Arabidopsis thaliana: one gene and its partners. The protein of the gene in region 3 interacts with the protein of the main gene of each other region in a pairwise test. Each region holds a gene or a part of one and is shown on either strand. Other genes may lie near its edges. The genes, in order: DWF1, AT4G18230 and AT1G57540.

Region 1 (7,008 bases), on a different chromosome or scaffold from region 3:
CTGGCTCTTCGGTTAGTAATAGCGAGAAGTTGGAGAAGATGCTCTCACCTGTTGACTCACCACATCTTCAAACACATAAGAGAAAACCCGTTAAATAACAAAGTTGATGCAATCACAATAAAGTAAAAAAGCTTCGATGAGTTCATAAGAAAGCACCTGTTGCAGCCGAGTGTGATAACAGTCCTGACAATTCCATCAAGTCTCAGCTTCTTCTTCTTCCTTATGACATCAACCGAAACTTGAACTGGTGTGCCATCTGGATAATCCTTGACATCTTTTGTCACTCTAAGTCCCATTGCAGAAGCTCTCTTCTTCGAGACATCTGTTGACAACCTTCCCAACCCAAGCCTCTCTAAGGTAGTGCAATATTCAACATGTGTAACTGAAGCATTTCTCCTATACATAACCGAACCTTCCCAAGGTGACCCAGTATCCTCAATTTCCTCCTGATCTTCCCAATCCATATCTATTGTGCTGGTCTCTGTAAAAGACTCCTGACTAACTAATATCCGACTCTTTGCTAGCCTAGGAAGCTTGATCGGTTCAGTGAACAAGTAACTGATATGCTTCCTAATACCGGTGGTAAAATTAGGATAGCCAGCGGGAGAAGATAAACTTAAGGTACATGTTTCGAGTTTCAGAAAACTTGGACGCGACTGTTTAGTCTGTGGCAAGGGAGCTACACAAGATAAAGAGCAAACCAGAGACATTTTCGTAGCAAAGGTGACAACAAGAGGCAATTTATCAAGCGTTTATCAAACAATCATGCTAAAATATGGTATAAAATCCAGCCAAATCCCAATAGGATTGGGTTTATCCAGCTTGAAACAGAGCACCTGCAAGAAACATTTGCTGATATAGTGTCAACAATAGAGAAAAGACAGAAAATCTTGAGAAGGGAAATAATAATCTTCAATTGTTTTTGAAAAGAATGAATTGGGTATCGAGACTTCACAGTTACATTCCAGTCAGAGCTAATGTAACTAAAGGAATTTGAGCTAGGAATTTGGTCGAACACCTTCTATGCACCATTTTATGTAGATAAAGGACAGACCTTTCCACTTCCAATTAACAGAGCCGCAAACATCATGACGGAGACGAAATCGAAAAACAAGCAAGTAACTTCGAATACAAAAGATACAACAAGAATTAATAAATCGAAATTACTTACCACTAACAAGTGCTTCAACAACGCTTTAGACGATCGACTCTGTAAAACTTCTTTCAGAAACAGAGCTCTTCTTACTCGGAAATGGCTGCTTGGGTTTATCCTAAAAAGTCTCACCCGGTCAACTTCGGTTCAAATACCGGTATTTCCAGGTTTATATCAAACCTAACCGCACCCCAATAAAACTAACAAAGTCGGGTTTTAGTGTTTTAGATTCACGTCGTGAATGATCTAAAGCCTAGTTGGTGGTGGTATAAAGAGAGAAGTTGAAATGATCTCTCAAATTGGTAGATCAATTAATTCATTACAGCAACATGCTTACATTGTGACAGTCAAGCAACACGATAAAACCGGAAACCTTCAATTTCATAGGCAAATCCAAAAGTTTTAAACTCTAAAATCCACTCAAACCAGAATGAGTCAAACAACAACAAGAAGCAAACAACAACAACAAGAGTCTTCAAGACACTAAAACTGAAATTAGGAAACAACAACATAACAGACACTACTAGGAATAACAATAATCATCCCGAGCCATTACATCAAACCAAGGCTTATTATTACTTAATCTGCCTCGGCATAAGCAGTTTCGAGATGAGCTTGTTCGGCTTCTCTAACTTCTTTCTCAGTCTTCCTTCCTTTCTTGGACTTGTAGTAAACACTCATGAACGTTCCAATAGCTCTATACTTCTTGCGGCACTCCTCATACAATTCACCATTAAACATTCTCCAGAAGCTCTTCTCGTCGAGCTCAGACACCGCGTACTGAGGCTGGAATCCATGGTTCTCTATCAGCCATTTCTCCATCCTACGCACTGCTTCTGATCCATCAAACTCTTCACCTCTTAGGACACAGCCAGGTGCGTAGTAGACTCCAACATCAGTGTACATCTGTGCATCTTCTGTGTCTCCTTGTCTGTTTTCGTACTCGAAGCCTGGCTCTGGGTAGATTTGGCCTTTGATTGGCTGCTTGAAGAGTTTGTGTGGGCAAAGCCAAATTGGATACACCTGAAAGAGAACAAACAATTCATGATTTTGTTAATAACATCAAAAGAAACTTTAACTAGAAGATGATCAATCATGAAACCGAGCTTTTAGTTTTACCTCCATTTCGCGGTGGACCCATTCGAGTGCATCGCCAACCTTGTAAAGAGGAACAAGCATATCCTGAATAACATGCATATCATGGTAATAGTTCCTGATAGCTTCACCTTGAGTGGCCTTAAGAAGAGAGACCTTTGGAGGCATCAACCAACCTAAGAGGTACCTAAACCAGAACTGATCACCAAATGGAAGAATAAGCTTCCCTTCCCAGTACAAGCACCTTGTGTGCCTGTGGTAGTATTCACGAGTTGGGATGTACTCAACAAACTGTCCCTTTTTCAGGGCGGTCTGCGCGTGCTGGTAGAACCACGGCTTGAACCACCATCCCACATTGTTGATTTTGTTCCCTTTCTTCTTTGCCTCTTCTTTAGATGCATATGTTCCAACCATCATCACTCCTTCCGTTGGATTGTAAACCATGCCTTCGACGAAATCCGGGATTTTCGACTTGTCACCGTCTTTGGGAGCAAAAGAATCAATGTAACCTTGAGCTAAGGCTTGAAGATCACCCTTGACTGGTATGTAAGTGAGTCTCATGTACTCCTTGACTTTAATAAGCCTGATCTCAGCAGCTACAAGGAGTCCAAGAGTTCCTTGCGACCACGGGATTGCGTAGTAAAGATCAGAATACTCATTATCCCTTGTGGCGCGGACAAGCTCTCCACCCGCAAGAACAATCTCGTAAGCCTCAACGGTATCAGCAAACAAACCGTAGATGTGAGAGCTTCCTTCAATACCATATCCATTGATAAGTCCACCAACGGTAAGGTCATCAAGCTCAGCAACAACAGCGAGAGACAGGTTCATTGGGACGGTAGCACGGGAAATCTGTCCCATGTTAACAAGAGGCTCCACTCTAGCAGTCATCTTCTCCTTGTTGATCTCAAGGATGTTACGGAACTCCCCCAAGTCAACCTCGAAATGCCGGGCTCTCTTGTAGTCAACGTTCCTCATTCCAACAGCGATCCAGGGCTTACGAGCAGTGCAGACAAGCCCGTCCTTGGAAGCATCCCTACCCTTAAGCCTTTTGATGACTTTCTTGACATTCTCGTCGTGTTCCTTCTGACGTTTCTCAAAGGACTTGGACTCTGACCACATGTCCCCGAGGTAGATGAGGAAGTAGAATGTGGCTGAGAATGGAAGGACGATGAAGATGACAATGATCCATCTGAACTTGACAAAGTAATCAACCCAAGTCTTCTTCCTCTTGGGCCTCACAAGCGGTGTCTGAAGATCCGACATTTCCTCTCCTCACTGCATCAAACCAAAAAGAAAATCAAATCAACCAGAGTTTCAAAATCCATCACTGTAAAAGTCAACAAGGCCTAAGAAGTGAGCATAAATCTACCAGAATGTCAAAAATACTAAAGATTAGTTTCTTGAATCCAAAAAGAGTATAATAAGCACACATAAACACATACGTATACACACATGTGTATCAGTGTATGTGTATGAAATAAATCTGTAAGAAGAAGATAGTGTGGAGTCCATGGAAACAGAGAGCTAGTGAACAGAGAGACAAAAAGACATGAAGTTATGTTCTGAAAGAACAAGAACACAGAAAATGGTTATAATCTTTAGATCTACACATCTAGTATTCCTACAAAGCCATCAAAGTCTGTTTTCTACCACCAAAATAAATAAATAAAAGTTGGTGAGCAAAGTTTGAAACTTTGTTTGAAATTCTCCAAGACTGAGATGATTAAAATTAAAAAACCCACATAGTTCACTAGTGCGTGCTATGAAACAACTATGAACCAAGTACTGAGAGATCTAACGACAGGAAATGATAAGTCAGCGACTGAGACAGAGAGAGAAAGAGAGGTAGAGAGAGTACCTGAAGAATCCAAAGGAGAGAGAGAGTGAGAGGATGAGATGTGAAAGTGTCCCCAAGAGTGTGAGAGCATTTGTCTTTATAATAAAACGTGATTCAAGCCAGCCTGCTTCACTTGCATTTTTCGCTCAAAACAAGGTATTTTTTATTTCCCATTTTTTTATATAATTTTAAAATAAAAAAGGTAATAATAACGCAAAAATATAGAAATTAAGAAATATATAATGTATATTTTTCATGGGTTTGTATAAGTGGTTTTTCATATTTCTAAGTTTCTTTGTTGTTATCGCAATTAAAAATTCGATGTTAGTTGTAATGTTGATAAATCACATGTGTTATATTTATGAGCAATTTTTTAGTTTATAATTCTGATGTAAGAAAATAAAAATAAATTGTTTTTACTTATATCAGTATTTAATATATTTTTACCAACTCTTTTAACATTTAGAAATTATATGTAAATCGAACCTAGAGCTTAATTAGACATATCTTCCAAAATATAATTTCTTACTTAGCAGTTAGCATATAAAAGGAATATGAGGACAAATTCTTTGTAGGGATATTTTTTCTGAAAAGAGTTTACTGCTATAAATAGGTAAAAGCAAATAAATAAAAAAAGGCAACAAATCTTAGCAGTTTAAATTTCTTTTAAATAGAAAAATATATCTTTCTTTTGGTATGTAAATCACAATAAATTACAGGAAGACATGTGCCCAATGAAGGAAATGTAATTGTCCAATTCGTTTTTTTTTTAAATGCATTTTATGGGTTGATTGTATTGATTTTTGTTTTCTAAATGCTTTTAGCGAAACAGTCCTCCTACATGTTTGTTGATGTACCTAAAGCACATTCCATCCTCGTGAGGTTACTAAGCCGACGATCTTATATATTGTTTATTGGCAAAAAGTTCATTACAACTTTTCTTATCATAATAGTTATTACAACAATCTTTAACATTTAGTTTTGATATGTTATGATTGAAGCAAAAAAAGCACTGCCTAAAATATCTTGAAAACATTATACATTATGAATGCTAATGAGAGTTCCTTATATCTTTCTCTCAACTCTTAAGGGATCTTCAAATGAGTGTTTTTTTTAAGCCAAAACAATTGTGAATTAGTCATTCACTTTCATCTTATTCAGATTACAATGTAGTATTTTAGAAACTAATGTGTAGTAAAAAATTTTATATAAAATGCCTCTTATTTATATAAAAAAAAAAACTACGGCTGTGATGAGAAATGTTTTCCCAAATCCCAATAGCCATGCTTTTCATCAAAATTCATATATGAAATCATTTGTATCATTATCAGTGCCTACATAATACAGTAATAAACACACAAACTATCACGTTATTTGGTGAAAAAGGCTCTCAATATATAATTCTGTTACTGTAACCAATTATTTGATTTCCACCTAAGTATTTTAATAGTTGATTTAGAAAAGCAAATAAAATCATGATTTATTTAGAAAAATGGTTACACTTTAAAGTAATGAAGTGCTCAAAAAGTTTTTTTTGTCGCCAAAAAGTAATTATTTATTTATTTGACATAGAAAGAAAAAAAAAATTACAGGGATGATGGCCTGTCTGAGAAAATATCCAGCTCTTGCAAAATCTCTCATAAAATATATTTACTCTTTAAAATATGCCAACTAATTTCTTACTCACATTTACAGCTACAAATCATTTTTTTGTAGTATGGAAAAATAAATGTCTATTTGGCGAATCACACCTTTTGACATTGACAGTTTGACGTCAGTGAAAATTTGGTTGACGCTTGACAAAGTTTTAAACCGTTACAAGGTCGTGTAATCACACCAATGTTTACATTACAAGAAACACCAATTTGTTTATATATATATCCAAATACAAAGACATTACTCTTTGGTCCAACGCCAAATAAACCCATGCGTCATTTCTGCATCAACAAAAACCGTCTTTGTCCATTCCATTAGTACCTAAAAAAGTGTGAAGAAGCCAGAGACAACAACCCACATAAATTATGATTTGTTAAGATTGAAGCGTATTATGACTAAACACTTCTCTTGAAGTAAAAAAATTAAAAAAAAAAAAAAAGGTGAAAGAAAAAGACAAAAGAGAACGGAGAAACCGAAGAGAGGAGAGTTGAAGATAACAAATCTATAAACGAGGACTGTCCTACTCCCCACATGTGCCTGACGTGATCTCAACTCCTTCACGTGATTTCTCTTCCTCATTTTTTGTAATTTTATTACTAATTCTCCATTTTTTCTCACTTCTTATTAATCCCTTTTTATTATTCAAATTTTTGTTTTCTGCCACTTCCATTTTATTACTATTCTTGCTAAAAGAGAATGGAAAACAAAATCACTTTGTTTAATGCACCCACGATCCAGTTTTTATTTTAAATTGTTGTGCCTTCTGTTTGATTGCATGTACTTAACTTCTTATAATAAGTGTAGATCTACTCTTAACGTGCAATTAACTAATAGTCTAATACATCGGGGACACGTTCAATTGTTGGTAGCATTCTTGTTTAGCATTATATATAATCCATGATTTTAGCAATACCAATCAATCATTCCAAAGACAGATCGTTTCGTTTTCAGTGGCTTTTCATTAGACGATACATTGTTACCCTACTCAAAAACTTAACTCAAATGGGTTACTTCAACAATCAATATTGAAAAGAAATCACTTCTCAACAATAGATTAAGAAAACGACCAGAAAGGAGACTTTCTTGCGCCTTTGTCTTGGTTCCCTGAAATTAACCATAGTTCAGTCTTAGTAACATCGAACAAAATTGCTAAACTGATCCTAATGGGGAAAACGATGCATGCATACAAAACTGTTACACAATACTGTAAATTGCTAAACGCATACACCAAAAAAGAAGCAATCATAGCCTATAAACAGCGTTC
Region 2 (6,387 bases), on a different chromosome or scaffold from region 3:
GCAGGGAAAAGAACCAATTCCAACAGATCAAGACGAAAGAAGTTCGGTCAGTGGCAGCCAAACAAAACTATCTCACTCTAATACATACAAACGGTGGCTCCGGGTTGCTATCTATACATTCTTTGTCATTTCAGGCCAATCAGTTGCTACAATTCTGGGCAGACTATACTATGAAAATGGAGGAAACAGCAAATGGCTAGCAACGGTAGTTCAGCTTGTAGGCTTTCCTATTCTACTTCCATATCATCTCTTGTCAGTCAAAACACATACAACAACTCAGAGAGATGGCAAATTAACCTCACTTAGGAACCGTGCATTAGTTTACATAGTGCTTGGACTTCTTGTAGGAGCAGCTTGCTACCTATATTCCATTGGACTGCTTTACCTACCTGTTTCTACCCTTTCCCTGATCTGTGCATCACAGTTAGCCTTCACCGCTTTCTTCTCTTATTTACTCAACTCACAAAAACTTACTCCTATCATTTTGAATTCTCTTTTCCTCCTCACTATATCTTCCACCCTCCTTGCATTTAATAACGAGGAATCAGATTCCAAAAAAGTTACAAAAGGAGAGTATGTCAAAGGTTTCGTATGCACCGTTGGTGCATCTGCTGGGTTTGGTCTACTCTTATCCCTACAACAGCTAGCCTTTCGTAAAGTTTTAAAGAAGCAAACTTTCTCAGAAGTTATAAATATGATAATCTACATGAGTCTAGTGGCCAGTTGTGTTAGCGTGGTGGGGCTTTTTGCTAGTAGCGAGTGGAAAACTTTGAGCAGTGAAATGGAAAACTACAAACTTGGGAAGGTATCCTATGTCATGAACCTAGTGTGGACAGCTGTTACCTGGCAGGTATTCTCCATCGGTTGCACAGGACTGATCTTCGAGCTTTCCTCCCTATTCTCAAATGCAATAAGCGCTTTGGGACTCCCCGTGGTTCCTATCCTGGCTGTCATCATTTTCCATGACAAAATGAACGGCTTAAAGGTGATTTCTATGATTCTAGCTATTTGGGGTTTCGTATCCTATGTCTACCAACAATATCTTGATGAAACAAACTTGAAGAAAAGTAATGAAATACCAACAACAGAATCCCCTGACCGACCAGAAGCAGAAGGGTCAAGTGAGCAATCAAAATAAGCTGTTACTTCAAAGATTGTGGCACACACAGTTTACAGACTAAAGCGAGCTGATCAAGTAAACTTACTTTTCTTTATTGGTATGAAGGCAGCCTACAATGAAAAATAAACATAATAGATTTGTGATGCGACTCAAGTGAAGTCACAGCCTGAAAATGTGTGCATCATTGTAACATGAAGTATATTTTATTTAAATATATGTTGTGCACGATTCTGGTTTAGTTTGGAATAAGATGACCAAAATCACATTATAAGCTCACTGAAATAGCATTAAGTCATTAACAAAGTCAAAACAGCTGATTACAAAAATTCATTGTTTAAAACTCAATCCTGCATATAAAGAGAAGGTGTACACTATGTAGCTTTCTAAGTTTTTGTAATATATCTAGGTGTAAGTAGAGTTCCAATCAGCTTACATCAGGCACCCAACATAGTGAGCCCGAGGATACTTCTTATGCAGTTGTGGCCATTGAACAAAGAATTGATCAGCTATTCTCAACTTGTAAAGCAACAATCCACTTAATGAGAGCTTTTTCACTCTTGCTACACTCTCAACATAAAAGATTGATGACCATCTAATTCCCAGCACCTGTAACCCAAGATGAAACAAGCACTTATGGGAATTCTAGATGTAATGGAGAAACCATGACTAAGAATAAACAAAACACATCCTCTGTTTTTGGTCACAAGTCCATTCAAGGTCATCCAAAATGTAGAGGAAAGAACTGCAAAGAATCTTGATAAAATATTTCCGAAGTGTGTATACCTTGAATAAAAAGGCGATCACACACAGAGGAATACAGGTCCCAGGACCATTGCAAAGAATCTGAAAAACTTCAACCAAATCTAATCAATAACCTGATTCAAATGGTTTAATAAAGAACCCTTGAAGAAAGTCTAAAAAGCATTCAGATAAAAATCATACCACTTGTGGTCTGATCCGGATCATTAGCCACAGAGCGTGAAGAATAGCAACAATGGTAGTCCAAACAGAAGTCACATAAGACTGACCAACTTCACGACTCCGGTAAATTTGCATGAACTGTGATGATGCTTCCTTAACAGCAGGCTATGCCACAGTCATACCAAGCAAAAAACACACAAGAAATAAGTAATAAGCAATAGCAAAATTCAAAGAGGAGGGACAAAACTCAAACGAAATTGAATTTAAGGATTTTTAACTAAACCTTCTCAGCTAGAGAATCTTCAAAACTACGAGCTTTCTGGAGACTCATGTTATCTGTAGCAGCAGCAATGTAAAACCTTGGTGTAAATCTATCCTTCCGCAAAACAGAGAGGAGACTCAACATCTCTGCTGTGTGTCCCCCTGGTGATTAACAAAAACCCCACAATAACATATCATAATATGCAGCACATTACTTAGATCCAATTGAAGAAGACACTGCATTAACTCTTCTTACCAGAACCAAGAACAATAAGAGTAGTAAAAGACTGTGAAGCTCCTTTTGGAAGTGGTTTGCCACATCGGTATATAACATACAGTACACGAACCATTAGAAGAACGATCGCCAAAATAATCAATAAACCAATGCTGAATTTTGAGGCCATCCTTGAGTAAACACAGTTGCAACCTTCCTCCATGATCGTACTTCCTTTTGAGATCTAAAACGTCAAAATCCAAGCGTAATGGAGAAACAACTCAAAATCAGATCACAAACAAAACGAATCGTCAAAATCGAGCTCGAAATTAGACAAAAAAACGAAATTGAAGATTCAACACGGCGATTATAAGGTGGGAAGAAACAAAATAAAAAACTCACCGGCGACGGAGAATCCCGGCGGTGACGGGAACGTAAAGGATTAGAGAATTGAATTTTATTGGTTACGGTGTGTCTTCTTTTTACCACCGTTCGATTTGGATATTGCTTAGAATACACGTGGCGTAACCACGTGACTTTTATCTTTGGGTGGACCTGCAAACATGTAATTCCTTCCCAATTTTTTATTTTAAAATCTTAAAAAGATACTAAGAACTGATGAAGAAGATATTGTACACCAGTCGGTACTTAGAAAAAAAAAAATGAGATTTTTTCACAAAACCTCCATTGAAGCAACTTTTGTAGCTTTCTTCGTTTAGGTATCTAATTAAACATGACGACGAAGCTATCGAGCTTCTGTTTCTTAACCCATGGATTAGCAGGAATCTCCTGCGAGAGAGAACATGGAAGTTCTCGTCGATTTTTCTATCTCCCTTCTCGTCGATTAGTTTCTACTTCGTGTAAGATGCGACAACAACGTGGTTTCGAGTGAGTTTTTTTTTTTTGTCGATTTCTGTGTTGGGGTTTGAGAATTTATGTACCAATTCGATTGATTTATGTAACTTGGCATTTTTGAATTTTGCATTATAAAGTTTTGTTTTTCTCAGCTTTAGAGTTATGGTGAATGCTCATAGATGTGAACGTGTTTATAATTATCTTGATTTAGATTCATTTGTATGAGTTTGGAGAGGACTATGAGAATTAAAACTCTGATTTTACTTAGTGATGAGATCAAAATGTTGCATTTGATTTTTGATATGAATCCAATTTTTGTTAAAGCTAGCCTCTTTGTAGCTTAAGTTCCTTTCATTTCCCATTTGATTTGCATTACACCAAGTCAAAAAAAATCTGATATCTTGACTAATTTGCAGCTCTAGTAAAAGACAAGAGGTCAAGAAAGGCTCCCCTAAACCGATCCTATCTATAAATTCAGGTCTTCAGAGCAACAATGATGAGGAATCTGATCTGGAGAATGGTTCTGCGGACAGTGTCCCGAGTCTTAAGTCAGATGCTGAAAAGGGTAGTAGTATTCATGGCAGCATAGATATGAATCATGCTGATGAGAATCTTGAAAAGAAAGATGATATACAAACAACTGAAGTTACTCGGCGCAAGAGTAAAACTGCAAAGAAGAAAGGGGAGAGTATTCATGCTACGATTGATATTGGACATGATGATGGGAAGAATTTAGATAATATTACTGTGCCTGAGGTTGCAAAAGCTTTGGTATGGATTTCTTTTTAGTGTTAATGGTATATCGTAACTCTCTTCTTCTGAAAAAGGCCTTCTTTTGATCACTTATTGTAAATCATTTTTTCAGTCCCTTAACAAAAGTGAAGGCGAGCAGATTTCAGATGGACAGTTTGGGGAACTAATGACAATGATAAGAAGTGCAGAAAAAAGTAGAAATTTTCTTATCTGTATTAGTTATGTTTGTTTCCTGATCTTGTGAAAGCCTTTGTTAATTCCTGATGTCTTATTGTGTCAGATATTCTTCGGCTTGATGAAGCACGGGCCACTGCTCTTGACGACCTTAACAAGATTCTTAGTGATAAGGAAGCGTTGCAGGGAGAAATCAATGTCTTGGAAATGAAATTGTCTGAGACTGATGAAAGGATTAAAACTGCTGCTCAAGAGAAAGCACATGTAGAGCTTCTGGAAGAACAGTTAGAGAAGCTTCGTCATGAAATGATCTCCCCTATAGAAAGTGATGGTTATGTTCTAGCTCTTAGCAAAGAGCTTGAAACATTGAAGCTGGAGAATCTATCTTTGAGAAACGATATAGAAATGCTTAAGTCAGAACTTGACAGTGTTAAAGATACCGGTGAACGTGTGGTTGTGTTGGAAAAGGAGTGCTCCGGTTTGGAATCTTCTGTAAAGGATTTGGAATCTAAGTTATCGGTTTCTCAGGAAGATGTCTCGCAGCTTTCTACTCTTAAAATCGAATGCACTGATCTATGGGCGAAGGTAGAGACTCTACAGCTGTTGTTAGATAGAGCTACCAAACAAGCAGAGCAAGCAGTTATAGTGTTACAACAGAACCAAGATCTAAGAAATAAGGTCGACAAAATTGAGGAATCACTTAAAGAAGCCAACGTTTATAAAGAATCTTCAGAGAAAATTCAACAGTACAATGAGCTAATGCAACATAAGGTGACATTACTTGAGGAGCGGCTCGAAAAGTCTGATGCAGAGATATTCTCATATGTTCAGTTATATCAAGAATCGATAAAAGAATTCCAGGAAACACTTGAAAGTTTGAAGGAAGAAAGCAAGAAAAAATCAAGAGATGAACCGGTTGATGATATGCCTTGGGATTATTGGAGTCGGTTACTTTTAACTGTTGATGGATGGCTGCTTGAAAAGAAAATAGCAAGCAACGATGCTGACTTACTGAGAGACATGGTATGGAAGAAAGATCGAAGAATTCATGATACCTATATTGACGTCAAAGATAAGAATGAACGTGATGCCATCTCTGCATTTCTCAAGCTTGTCTCATCTCCAACAAGGTTATCATCGTCTATTGGAAATGCTTTTTTTTTTTTCAGTTTTTAAAGCTTTTGAAAAAAGTAACCTATTTTCTTCATCTTGTGTTGATTCTAGTTCAGGATTGTATGTCGTTCACATTGCAGCTGAGATGGCACCTGTAGCTAAGGTGTGTTCAGCTAAACCCTCAAAAATATCTCTTGCTTACATGTTAGATTTTCCGAAATAGAAGCATTGCATGGTAAATTTTCAACTTTATCCCCATTCCAAATTTCCTTCTGTAATTTCTGTAGGTGGGAGGTTTGGGAGATGTTGTGGCAGGTCTTGGTAAGGCATTGCAAAGAAAAGGTCATCTGGTGGAGATTATTCTTCCCAAATATGACTGTATGCAGTATGATCGCGTGCGTGACTTAAGGGTAATATTGTTGTCCAATATGATGAAAACAAAATTATAAGCGGACTTTAACTTTTAACGTTTTAGTTGGTTTGATTTATTTCACTGCAGGCTTTGGATACTGTTGTGGAGTCATATTTTGATGGGAAGTTATATAAAAACAAAATCTGGATTGGCACTGTTGAAGGTGAGGAGACTTTTTCTTTTCTCGTGTTTGTGTCTTTTGGTTTTCAAAATGATTTGAAGTTTCTCTCTATTGACAGGTTTACCTGTACATTTCATTGAACCTCAACATCCAAGCAAATTCTTCTGGAGAGGACAGTTTTATGGAGAGCAAGATGATTTCAGACGCTTCTCGTATTTTAGCCGAGCTGCACTAGAGTTGCTTCTTCAGTCCGGCAAAAAACCCGACATCATACATTGTCATGACTGGCAAACAGCTTTTGTTGTACGGCTTGATCTTATTTTGAAGCAGTAACGTAATTCATTTTGTTTAGGATACATCTTGAAGCTTTCTTTTTTTTTTTTTTTTATAACAGGCGCCGCTGTATTGGGATCTGTATGCTCCAAAGGGATTAGATTCTGCAA
Region 3 (5,606 bases):
TCAGTACACATGCATGAAATAGAATACAATCCGACCTTAGCTCAGTTGGTAGAGCGGAGGACTGTAGTAGACGCAGATTATCCTTAGGTCACTGGTTCGAATCCGGTAGGTCGGAATTTGCTCCCACACGAGATCTTTTTATTTTTCTTTCGTTGTGACATTAAGGTTTTTAAATTTTATAATAAACGGTTATATGGTGGTCGACAATTAAACATACCGAAAAGTTTTGCTCGAATTCTTAAACGATCCGTATGTTTAGCTTTTTTCAATATTGATACGATGAAAAATGATTTAAAAGTGACTAAAAACTATGAGTTTTCTAATTTTCTTTGGTCAAACAAACATTTAGTTTTAGAGTTTTAAAAAGAACAAAAAATGTATGCATAATTATATTCAAATGCTTGTGGGTTGTGCCTATAAGTTGTCAACGTTCATACAAGGGTGGTGAAATACCTTTTCCCACTTTGTTGCACGAAAAGTTTTGCTCGAAGTTGTAGATGTTCCGTAATTTTAGCTTTTTCAATATTGATGCGATAAGAAAATATTTGAAATTACTTAAAACAATGAGTTTTCTAATTTTCTTTGATCAACCCAACCTATAGTTATTGAGTTTTGCAATGAAAAAAGAATGTGTATGAATAATTCTATTCAATAGCTTGTGGGTTGTGCCTATAAGTTGTCAATGTTCATTCAAGTGTAGTGAAATACCCTTTCCCACTTTGTTGCACGATTTTCATGGCTTTAATTTTCCAAGAATATTAACAATCATCGACCATTTGGGAGGTGATTGACGCCTTAAACGTGGTGTTATCAACTGGTAGGCCTTGGGCACCGGAGGATATTTAAACCGTTCGAGTTGTAGCCATCACTTTCGAATATCTACCAGATTTTTCCAAGAAGCATGTTTGCATATATTGTTGATATGCATTCTAATTTCTAACTTTGTTTACAATTTCTTAAAGAGGAATCACTCTGTATATTCTAAAGTACTGCAAAATCATTGTGTTCATATATTGTTATAATTTTACACATGTATCAAATGCAATAGTACAGTTCGACCTTCGCTCAGTTGGTAGACAGGAGGTTGTTTCTTTGCGCCAAGAACTGTGCAAAAACCACATGTGGATGGATCTTTTGGTTTTGTAGTCTGCCTAGTCAATGGTTCAAACATCATAAGGTGTCAAGTATAGTGAAAGTAACCTCTGACATTTCCACTCATTCCCTATAACAAACTTGGCATGTAACGTAACTTAACCTTTTACCAAAAAAAAAAAACTTGACATGTATGCATTTCTCTTATTGAGTTCTCTTTTGATAACGATTTTGTTGTAATACTCTTGTCAAAGAACACTGAAAATGGAATGAAACAAGCTTTAGAAAATAAGATCTGACCCTACCGGATTCAAACTATTGACCTAAGGATGTTCTGCTTCAACTATTGTTTTCATTCGAAATGCAAAGAAACAACCTCCGTTCCAAAAAGCTAGATCTTTGGCCTCCATAGCTTGCAGAATTCACTTGATTAAGTTATGTTCTCCATGACATTATAATACCACAGGCTTATATGCTGTGTCTATATGACAATATCACTGAAATCCTAGCTCTTTACTCACATTCAAAACACATTGATGTCGATTATAATTAATTAATTAATTATGCTCGAGAAATGGTAGCATTAGGTTTGTTGGTGATCAAACATATTCCTACACATATTTAACTAGCAGGCATCTCCATGAAGTCACAACCTCGGTGTGGATATTCCACCTATGACTAGTTTGAGGGGATAGTGAGACCCAACCCTCCAAATAAATCCAAAGGTCTTCCCTTCGACAGCAAAAGCTTTAGAAAGCTAAACACTCTCCCAAAAGAGTGTGACCAATGGCCAATTACACTACACTCATAATCAAACACACACGAAAATGAGAGAGGAGCATAGGATGATACTCTTAACTCTATCAACCTAAAGGCTATATGAAAAAATACACCATAATTTCTAAAGGAAACAAAAAGTGACAGAATTTGGTAGTATTATAAATAGTTACCTAAATTCATGTACTGCAAGAAAATGTACAGAAGATGAGGTCCATACACATCATAGGTAAAGCCAGATTATGATGGGGTTTAAGGGAGTGAAGCTTGAGGGGTTTTGATGTTATCATATGCAGCAATGTTTTGTGGTTCACATTCAGGGCTGAAGAGACGGACAAGCATTGCAGTTGATGTGCTTACGGACAAAGCACCACACCCAGCCCACCGCAGACTCCTTGGCACTGTGATCCTTGGACCTACACATTTCCCAAAGAAAACATTTGCTTTTATAACCGTTCTATCTTAGAATTGACTCAACTATTCTATTCTACGTTCCTTTTACTCTTAAAACCACATAAACAACAAACCAACCCCAAGAATCATTTTTCATGACAATAGGAATCAAAGAACAAGTGTATTGCTTCCCAAAACGTGTAAAGATCCAATCTTTCACCACATCAAACTATTCAATCAAAGCTCCTTTTGGATTCATTTTTCTCATAAGAAACGGATACTACAGAACAGAAAACAGAATGGTAATACGCATTGGTATGTTTTCATAAGGCTACAAGAAATCTTTCTAACAATCAATTATGCAGAGCACTGGATTCAATAGCTATATGGAGAACAACCTTTTGATGGAAACGCAAATCACTGATTAGAAAGGAGAGAACTTTGTTTACCATAGTGAAGTCTGCAAAGAACCCAGAAACCAAGAGCTCCACCAACAGTGAAAATGGCAGCTGTTTGTTTCATCAGTCTTGAACATGGCTTAGCATCTGATCTCATCAGATCTCCTTCTGACCATCCTAACTTCTGCCTTAACGCCATTTCTCTCTGTAATAACAACACCAAATTAATTTAAGTATAAGAGAAACGAAACTATTCGGTTTTGTGATTAAGATATTCACTGAGGCATTTCATCGAGCAGTATAAGGGCAACTTCAAAAACGAGCAACAGATATAATAACTCTATATGGGTTAAGATCTAAGCAGTAAAAAAGAGAGCAGAATTGGTACATAAATACCAGAAGCAAAAGCAATCTCTGTCGTTACCGGTGATGCGTAGTTTCTTTGGCTGTGTCGCCGTCGAGCTTGTCGGAAGAAGACGGAGAAGAGAATCAGATCCACGTGTCTAATTAGCTGATATTTGGAAGCCCAATAAGTGTTAACTATCTTAATGGGCCGGACACAATAATCGTCGGATCCAAGTGATACACGTGGCTCGGAAAAACAATTTGTTTTTTCAAGGAGTTGGTTTCTGTCTTTCTGAATTAATTAAAAGGTTTTTTTTTCGTTAATTAGTACGAACTAATTAAAAGTTAGTGTAAAGTAGATTCGAGGTTTCACCGAGGTACACTTAGAGAGTTAGAGGGGATTGCAAAAAACCTTAATTGACAGCATTAACAATGGATTAATAGACGCATCTATTATCGGAATTTACACCGATATCTTGGATATTTAAGGTTAGAAAATAATATTTTTCTCATTCGAATCGTTGTTGTAACCAAGTAGCTCATAATTTTTTTCATTATGGGAGAGCATTGACTATACCAATTGATCCTCTTTGGTAAGATGGGACGATTTCAATAGATTTTGTTTACATTTTTTGCTTACCACTTTGAGGTAAAGAATTTGTATATGCAGGGATTATTGGGAACGTCTTCATGGGAGCCTATACCACACGGTATTCGATTCAAGCAATCTTCAAATCGGAATTGCAGAAGCTATATAAAATTATAAATGTATGTACACAGGTTTATATTTATCGTTATACGCATAAGTAAACTGTGTGTATCGATGACTCCATGTAATATCTCTATCAGAACTTTATAGTTCCTAATGGTACTAATAATTTGATCACTCTTTAGATGTAGTATTACTACAATTCAAAATTTATATCACGCATATAATAATATCATCAATCTTCCAAATCTGTTTATGATCCGTAAAATGTATCCATAACCTCTGCAAACTAGAACAACAGCAATTTGGAAACTGCTGGAATTTACATACATCTAACATAGCAAAAAGTTTGCTAGATTACAAAACTGATTCCTTAAATACAACATAAAAAATCTAAAAAAGCAAACATTGTTGGAAAAAGAAAAAGTTATAAAATAAAAAAAGGATCCAGTGTTTTTGATTGGTTATTCCTACTTGGTGAGAACGTAGATGGCATATATCAGTCCGGGGATAAAAGCGAATAACGTTAGAAGCAAACAGACCCAAAACTCCAACTGCAAACACATATACAAAGAAACAAAAAAACAAGAGATTTGATCTTACTTTGACCATTAATGTCAAATGTGTCATATATTTTTATGATTTATGAATGAAAAAAATTTACCCCAAGGCCATATCTGAGGAACACACCAACAGGAGGTATGAAGATTGCACAAAGAACCTCAAGGAAGCTACCCATTTTTTTCTTCTGTAATTTTATGTTTTTTTTATATGTTTTTTTATGTTTTTTTTTGTTTTTCTGTTTCTTAGTTTTGAACTTTGTTTTATTTCTTCTTACGTGTTCATTTCCATTTATGAACTTTGTAAAAGAACAAGAAAATAGAATTAGTGGTTACGTTAAATAAGGGAAGAAACTGAGTTTGATTGTGTAACGTCCTCTGCTTGTTCCTAAAATGAAGGAGCTCCACTTCAACACAAACAACACAACCCTTTGCGTTTTGACGCAACCTTCCGTTGTTCATCGGTTGGAAACAAAAAAATGGGATGAACACAAATAAGAAGTCGAATAACTTAAAAATAAAATGTTTTGTTTTTGGGCAAAGAAATTAAAATGTTACAATCATAATGTCTGTTACAAAAATAAAATTAAATTTCATGGATTACAAATATATATAGGCCATTAGTTTGTATTAGTATCATCTTATGTAGATAAAATGTTTGCTTTTAACTCAAGTGTAAACATAATTTTTAGTGATTTTTATCAAGTTTTTTTTCTTTTACTCAAGTTTTTTTTCCAAACATGTAAATATTCAATTATGTAAGTTTTAATCTACTTAACTTATCTATATTTGTTAGTTTAGCTTAGAACAAGTAAATCTAACTTGCTATCACTTATCGACTCCACATATTTAGTCGGGTGTAATAACTTAGAGACCCATTAGTCAAAACTAATTTAAAAATGAAATTTCGTAAACTCGGTTCTTTCATATTAGATAATCTATTAAGATATATTTTTTTAATTTAATTACGTGGTTGACAAAAATGGATAATAAAAAAAAAAGTTTAACCAAAACTAATTATCAAAGATTAATATAATTGTCACAAAACATCAAATAAAATAAATTTTGCATAGGTAGTTGAAAGAAATTAAATCTCATCTATAAAGTTTAATATATACGAGGGAAATAATATATGAGATGCGTGTTAATTAAGTGAACAGCTTAATGTTTTCCATTTGTCGGTGAATGATGTTAAAGTTTTGTGGTAGTGATAATGACAACGATCCTTCATGTAATCTATATAACTTTTATTCAGTTCAAAATATTAAATCTCTAGTTTCTTTATATATTAATTTAATCGTCCTCAGATTTTATTGGTTCTGTCAATCTTAT

The links.
Region 1: the proteins of AT1G57540 (region 3) and DWF1 interact in a protein complementation assay, tested with the Arabidopsis thaliana proteins (one large-scale study listed by BioGRID).
Region 2: the proteins of AT1G57540 (region 3) and AT4G18230 interact in a protein complementation assay, tested with the Arabidopsis thaliana proteins (one large-scale study listed by BioGRID).

What each region holds. Positions count from the first base shown.
Region 1 is NC_003074.8:6,878,103-6,885,110, forward strand, and holds DWF1 (cell elongation protein / DWARF1 / DIMINUTO (DIM)), read right to left. Parts: upstream 4,214-7,008; 5' UTR 4,110-4,213; exon of another isoform or gene 3,527-4,109; 5' UTR 3,515-3,526; coding exon 2,273-3,514; intron 2,177-2,272; coding exon 1,733-2,176; 3' UTR 1,422-1,732; downstream 1-1,421. Other genes in the region: AT3G19810 (BTB/POZ domain protein, putative (DUF177)), read right to left, coding at 1-65, 157-710. UniProt on the Arabidopsis thaliana protein: Plays a critical role in the general process of plant cell elongation. Involved in the synthesis of campesterol, an early precursor of brassinolide.
Region 2 is NC_003075.7:10,078,972-10,085,358, forward strand, and holds AT4G18230 (UDP-N-acetylglucosamine transferase subunit ALG14-like protein), read right to left. Parts: upstream 3,087-6,387; 5' UTR 2,919-3,086; exon of another isoform or gene 2,761-2,918; 5' UTR 2,740-2,760; coding exon 2,559-2,739; intron 2,465-2,558; coding exon 2,325-2,464; intron 2,207-2,324; coding exon 2,063-2,206; intron 1,964-2,062; coding exon 1,904-1,963; coding exon of another isoform or gene 1,787-1,903; exon of another isoform or gene 1,727-1,786; coding exon 1,550-1,726; 3' UTR 1,139-1,549; downstream 1-1,138. Other genes in the region: AT4G18220 (Drug/metabolite transporter superfamily protein), read left to right, coding at 1-1,138; SS4 (starch synthase 4), read left to right, coding at 3,250-3,404, 3,788-4,142, 4,237-4,318, 4,405-5,428, 5,523-5,574, 5,699-5,821, 5,911-5,986, 6,063-6,247 and 1 more.
Region 3 is NC_003070.9:21,308,357-21,313,962, forward strand, and holds AT1G57540 (40S ribosomal protein), read right to left. Parts: upstream 3,166-5,606; 5' UTR 3,057-3,165; exon of another isoform or gene 2,866-3,056; 5' UTR 2,860-2,865; coding exon 2,712-2,859; intron 2,286-2,711; coding exon 2,122-2,285; 3' UTR 1,539-2,121; downstream 1-1,538. Other genes in the region: AT1G57550 (Low temperature and salt responsive protein family), read right to left, coding at 4,185-4,268, 4,379-4,453.